Schizosaccharomyces pombe: one gene and its partner. The gene in region 1 interacts genetically with each later gene. Each region holds a gene or a part of one and is shown on either strand. Other genes may lie near its edges. The genes, in order: erf4 and bcp1.

What was found.
Region 2: mutations in erf4 (region 1) and bcp1 together harm fitness less than expected from each alone (positive genetic interaction), as found in Schizosaccharomyces pombe (one large-scale study listed by BioGRID).

The regions. Positions count from the first base shown.
Region 1 is NC_003424.3:2,827,842-2,831,003, forward strand, and holds erf4 (palmitoyltransferase complex subunit Erf4), read right to left. Parts: upstream 1,344-3,162; coding exon 825-1,343; downstream 1-824. Other genes in the region: rit1 (initiator methionine tRNA 2'-O-ribosyl phosphate transferase), read right to left, coding at 1-508, 788-846; spd2 (ribonucleotide reductase (RNR) inhibitor family), read left to right, coding at 2,676-2,758, 2,958-2,965, 3,151-3,162. UniProt on the Schizosaccharomyces pombe protein: The erf2-erf4 complex is a palmitoyltransferase with a major role in driving sexual development. Palmitoylates ras1. Palmitoylates isp3. Palmitoylates rho3.
Region 2 is NC_003423.3:283,103-286,879, reverse strand, and holds bcp1 (thioredoxin peroxidase), read left to right. Parts: upstream 1-2,063; 5' UTR 2,064-2,354; coding exon 2,355-2,942; 3' UTR 2,943-3,277; downstream 3,278-3,777. Other genes in the region: SPOM_SPBC1773.03C (aminotransferase), read left to right, coding at 1-841; csc3 (WD repeat-containing protein), read right to left, coding at 3,332-3,777. UniProt on the Schizosaccharomyces pombe protein: Thiol-specific peroxidase that catalyzes the reduction of hydrogen peroxide and organic hydroperoxides to water and alcohols, respectively.

The DNA of each region.
Region 1 (3,162 bases):
ACGAATGGGTTTAGTTAGCTTAGCCGCCAACGCATCTAAGTCAATGCCGGACTGCATTAAAGAATCTACAAATCCATCTAGCCTCTGTAAAATAGATGATTTTTCTGTATCAGGTAAAAACGGGGGTAAAAAGGCCAAACGAGCATTAGGAAAGGAATGGGGACGAAGCCGTTCGAAAACACATTTATTGAGCGTAGCAATCCATATCGGAATCGTCTTTGATAGAGCATCGGGCATTCTCTTTCCACGACGAGTAGAATCTACTATAATCAATCCATCACAAGTGGTTATCTCATTTAGCAAATGCAAATTGAGACGACGACAGCTAAAAGACCATTGCCCGGTATGACCATCAGTACTTTTGAAATAAACAGAAATCGGAGCATGTCGTCGGTTGACATACCACGTACCGCATCGTTCATTTACAACAGGTTTAAATGTGGGGTACGAAGCTATAACTGAGTCGACAAACTTGGCATCGTGTGCAATTGACAGCAACCGATTCTTTCTTGAAATTAGTGTTAGCCAAATTTTCCATTCGATGACATACAAATAAAAGAAAAGCAAGGCAAAAAGGAAAAACAAGTAAAAATCAGCAAAAATATATATCAGTACGAAATCCAACAAATGGCGATTAGGCTAAAAATTTTTCATGAAAATTTAATAGCAGCTATCCATCGTTTTTTCTTACAATTTGCATTAATTGCTTGTGCGTTTATAAAGGTAGCAATCATTTTCTAAGTCTTTTGATTCTGCCAGCTTATTTGTATAGCAAATTGAGACTTACGGGTGTCTTGCTTGAACATGAATTTGTTGCACAGCGTCTAAAGGGTCGAATTCGTCCATTCGTTTGGCAGATCACTTCTGTGAGAACTAGAAGTTGAGATATTTGAAGTGGTGGCAGTCACGGCAGAGGGAAGTGTTCGTATAGAATGGTGCTCCGGGCAGTACGGATTGGAATGGAGAGTACTACTTTTCGAATTTGTTTCTTTTGTATGAAAAACGAGACTCAAAAACCCCATATTGCGAAGGCTGGCAACGTATAAATTATGTTGGGTTGCAAAGTCCAGGATGTACAAATCGATCGCCCCAATTCTTTTACGATGAATACTGCCAAATACGAACTCCGAGATATAAATCGTTAAAACAGATAGAATTCCATCTAATAGATTTCCAATTGACCATGGACAGAAGGCTTCTCTCAGTTTCTCGTTTAATGTGTGAATGAATACATCCCAATCCTCAAGATTCACATAAGCTCGAAGAGGTACAGGATAATCGGTTGGAAATTGAGGATATTTATCTCCTGAAACCGAATAATCCCTTTCAATGCGAACAAGCATCGAAAAAACCTACTGAAATGAAGCTTGGTGGATTCCCTAGCTCTAGGTTCAAGTGTACAATATTAGAAGACGGATTAGAGAATATGTATAATGAAACTGGGATTCGGTAGAGCACAAGAAAAAAAATAAATAAACAGGAAAGTTATAAGTTAAACAACGTTAAAAATGACTAAAAAATTATAAAACACTCATGAGTTCATCGATTGATCATATAACCGGAACTAAACAAACAAACGTATTAAATGTCAGAATTGAGTGATTAATTGAGTGAATAGCTGTAAAATGGGCAATGATAACTCATTTTAAAAAATCATTATGATTAATTGAGTGAGTTTCAGATTTGAAACAAAAACCACACAGTTTGTCACTAGGTAATTTGAACGGATTTATAGTGAAAATTAAGATTGATAAAAGGATGTGGTTTTAGTTGTTGAGGAATTGAAAATTAATAAAACGTATTGCTCGTTCAGGAAGAGGATAAAAGCTCTCTACAGGATATATTTCATCTACGATAAAAGTTACTTAGAATGAACTGGAAAAACTACTTGGGAAAATAAATGTAATAAAATATAAAAAATATTCGACTGTATATTATATGAGCATTGACTCATATTACTTTAGTCGTTAGATGAGATAAAACTTTGACAACGAATGCGGGCTTTTTTGAAGTCCTTGCTCAGTCCAAGAAGAGCGTCTTAAATCAAGTTCAATAAACTTTTTTAGCTGCAAGGGAAGTTAGGTTGCTTTAAAGTACTCAGCTATCTAAAACTCATTGTGCTTGCTATTAAGTTAAGCGTTAAAGATCCTATTAGGCTTAATATCGTCTGCGTTCTATACGACTTGAAGCTTACTCGCTTCTAAAAGGAATATTCGTTTAAATAAAAGAAACATGCTAAATATATATCTATAGATTCTTACAACCAACTTTTCTTATCCATTTATGCAAGTTGAATTCATGATTTGAAGAAATTCCAAGAAAGACGATTAAAAAAGAACCCTCCTTTACGAAGATGAAAATTTAGTTTCTCATGATACCCATAACATAACTGTTTAAAGGAAATATGTATCGCATTACACTGTTTTGTTTTTTTTTTCCATAGGTAAACAATAGAAAAAGTGTTACCTGTCTCGAGTCACAGAAAATTCGTATGATCTACAATCGCAACCCCAAACTACTTACCATCTACCACCTAATCATTGAAAATTAAAAGATTGCTCTGCGATTGGTAATTGCTAGCATTTGTGATTCACCACTCCGTCTTTACCTATATTTAACTATACTTTGTCAATTTCCCCCTGTTTGATACTTTTTAATTGTTTTACTTATCCAGGATGTCTGAAACGTTCAAGCTTCCCGATCATGACGAACTTCCCCAGCTAGTTCAAACTACTCTTTTTGATGTTGGAGCCAGAGTGTAAGTTTAATCCAATTTTTTACTTTTAAACGTTGAATTATCCAAAATGCTGATTGTTCTGCTATCTTTTTTTGTAAGAGACAGGGCTTAAAGGTCTAAGTACTTTTTTGAAAACTTATAATACAATTGTACTGCAGCACGGCATTTGATGATTTAACTCTTTTTTAGTCTTTTTGTATAATAACTAACAATCATTTAGTCGCAAAGGTACGTGAATCAAATTTAAAAAAAAAAAATGAGTGGATTTGTTTATTAATACCTTAATCAAAAATTTCTATAAAGCACTCTTTCTTCATGTTTATACTTTTAATGGAAAACTGTTTTTATAGAAACTACTTCCTTTCTACCTTTTTTCCTGTTTAGATGAAAGCAGTTTTTACTAACTTTAGCAGCTGTTCAAACTG
Region 2 (3,777 bases), on another chromosome or scaffold:
TTGTTTTGAATACAGGTATAAGGAAAACGGAGAGACAACCGAAGAATATGTTGCTCGATTAGCTAAAGAGCTTGAGGATGAAATTCTTCGCGTTGGTCCTGAAAAGGTGGCAGCGTTTGTGGCGGAGACAGTATCCGGTGCTTGCACAGGTTGTGCTACCCCTGTCCCTGGCTATTTCAAAGCAATGAGAAAGGTTTGTGACAAGTACGGAGTGATCTTTTACCTCGACGAGGTTATGTCGGGTATTGGCCGTACGGGAACAATGCATGCATGGGAGCAAGAGGGTGTGACACCTGACATTCAATCTATTGCCAAATGTTTAGGAGGTGGTTATCAACCCATTTCTGGAGCGCTTGTTGGTCATCGTATTATGAACGTGTTTGAGCAAAAAGATGCTGCCATGGCTGGTTTTTTTACATATCAAGCCCACCCAATTGCTTGTTCTGCTGCCCTGGCGGTGCAAACTATTTTAAGACGAGATCATCTTGTTGAAAGGGCAGCAGAAATGGGTAAATACCTTTCGGAAAAATTACATGAGACTTTTGACTCTCATCCCAACGTGGGAAATATTCGAGGCCGCGGTTTGTTTTGGGGACTCGAGATCGTTAAAGACAAAGCTACCAAGGAATGTTTCCCTCCTGAATACAAAGTTGGTTCTCTCGCCAACAAAATAGGTTGCGAGCATGGTGTTTTCGTTTATCCAGGCATGGGTACAATTGATGGCACCAGAGGAGACCACGTATTGCTGGCTCCTCCGTATATTATCACTCGCGAGCAAATAGATGAACTAGTGGAGGCTCTTAGCAAAACCATTACATCTACAGTTGCGGCCCTTCCTTGAATGTACGCAAGTTAACGAAATTCCTCTTTATCAGTTATAATGTTTCAGATAATTTGGATATACTTATGTTAGAAGACCTTTGGTCATGGTATAATAATTAATTTTATATGAAATGAATTTACAATGCATTAATATACTTTCTCCGCTACGACCCTTCGTTGTAATAAAATTGATAATTCCATACGGCTATAGGGTAGACGATGGCTCGCAATCATTTGAAAACATGTTCTCTGCGTAAACGCGTTTCTATATAGTTTGAATCAACAAACGTAAAAAACAAAAAAAAACTTGGACAAGCCAGAACTCGAATCTGGGACCTCTTCCATGCTAAGGAAGCGTGATAACCATCTACACCACATGCCCATTTTATTATACATTACACATTTATAGTATATTACAAGCATAGTAGGCAGTATACCATAATTTCAACTATTTAATGTATAATAAATAGACACATTATTAGCCAAACAGTTTGGATTGTTTTTGGGTTATTTTCATAATGTAGAACCAGTTGCTAATACTTCGATACAAGTTTAATTTTAAAGTAATATATGTCTATTATTTTACCTCTTCATCCAAGCATCGATGGTGTAGCGGTAACATCAATGCCTTCCAAGCATTAGCTCCGGGTTCGACTCCCGGTCGATGCAATGTTTTTAGCCTTTTTATAAAAAAAATGCAATGTTAGTTTAATAAAGACGATAGCCTCGCTTGCTAACATCATGTTTTATAGTCTTGGCTTACTTCCTTAGAATCTTTACTACGATTGCTACATTGACATTGCATGCAAATCAGTTCCTAGCTGATGGATCCGTTCTACAATTGACGAACAAAAGATATTTGAAATTTGTTAATAAATTAATTGTTATTTTATTTATATTTCTGTAACGCTGTCGAGACGGACAATCAGAGAAAATGCTGTTACAGTTTACGAAAGACCATTTTTTAAAGCCATACTAGTAAAAACGACACCATGTTAATAATGATTTGACTAGAAATTTTATGAAAGAAAACATTCTTTAGTCATAGTAGGATGCAAAGCTATTCCGATTGTATAAGCAGGGGAAGATCGGTTCCCTATCGATCGTTTGAAAGGTCAGCTAAATACGCTAAATACGATTTTACGGGATCACATTGGTAATGTTGTAAAGTAATATCAAAGCGAAGCTAACAAATTGGTAATATTTATGTCGTGATTCTTCACTACCTGTACTTTCTTCCTACACCAGAAAGAAAATCTCAGGTGTTATTGTAAAATTGTTTTTATTTTGGTACCGAAATTCTGAAAGTTGAGTAGTAAAAAGTTCAGAGTACTTCATCCTGAACAGAGTTTCACTACTTTGATCATTTTATCTAGCCTTTACAAGTTAAAGCGATTTAATACTGATCAGCATTGACACCAACGTTTTTGGTTTTACAGGTGTTGTTTAGAATATAAATTTATATACTGCAGCTCTGCATCAACCTTTCTCCTTCCCCTCTAGCATTTTTCTTGCACACTTTAAGCCTGTCAATGGACGCCCCCAGAAGATCTAGCAGATTGGCAGCCAAGATTGCAAACGTCTTGGATAGCAAAGGAACGATTATTCCTGAAGCTGCTCCAGTAATGCTGAAAAAGCCTGCAAAAGATGAATCAGTTGATTCAACTATTCAAGTGGGAGACGTAATTCCCGATATCACTTTGCCTGACGAAGATGGAACTTCCATTCGACTTCGCGATATTACTGCAAATAAAGGGCTTGTAATTTTTGCCTACCCAAAAGCTAGTACTCCTGGCTGCACGAAACAAGGTTGTGGTTTTCGTGATAACTATCCTAAGATACAGGCCTCTGATTATGAAGTTTTAGGGTTGTCTTTCGATACTAGCAAAGCTCAAAAAGCTTTCAAGGATAAGCAAAACTTTCCTTATCATTTGCTTTCGGATCCTAAAGGTGAGCTAATTAAAAAGTTAGGCGCTGAGAAGCCTGGTGGTGGAAAGCTGTTTAGAAGCCATTGGATCTTTGAGAAAGGTACTGGCAAATGCATAGTGAAGGAAATTGACATATCACCTCTTGTCAGTGTTGACAAAGCCTTTGCTGTAATCACTGATTCTGAACCTTAGTTGACAAATTGTCTACGCTCATTGTCAAATTTGGAGGATAGTCTACATGCCTATTGCTATATGATTCATGATGAAATTACACTTTTTTATGTCTTGCTACAATGTGCTTCAACCCTGAAGATACATTCAAATATGATCACTACACAATTTTATACAAGTTGATGGTCCAAGTTAGTGTTGTTCTTATTTTAGTAACGTTGAGATTAGATTAAATAGTTGCCGTATATCTAATACAAATATAGCTCCAGCAACGGTGTAGATTTTTGGTTCATTACGGTTAGAAATCGTAAATCATTATTTTTTAACAAATAACTCATTTTGATTAGAAAAGTTGGAAGTTTCATAAAAAGAGGGAAATCTTCCTGTATTCGTTTATCTTTGTTAGTGCTTTATGGTAAATATTTGCGGTCGTAAACAGAAATTCGCTCTTTACAGCCCACAATCAAATGCTCCAACTTATCGACGGGTGAGTTGATCCAAAGAATATCTGATAAATCAGTAATTTCCTCTTGAGCTTCTCTGCTAGGTAAGCTTTCGAGAGTTGAAAGTTTATCGTCCTGCCTCAAGAAAAAGACTCTTCCATCAGATGCACTAATCGCGAATTCCGGACGATTTACAGCAAACGCAATACCAGTCAAAGAGACTTTGCTAATCGATTTCTCTGCAAGCAATTCCTCACTCTTTACATCGAACACTCGCACCATGCCATTTTCATGCAGAGAATATAAGCGATCAGGGTTACCATTTTTCCATACGATCTTGTTGATCCTGTCTTTAACAGCCGGATTACCAATAGCAGAATTTCCAGCAATGCGCATTTGGCTTACAAGAATTT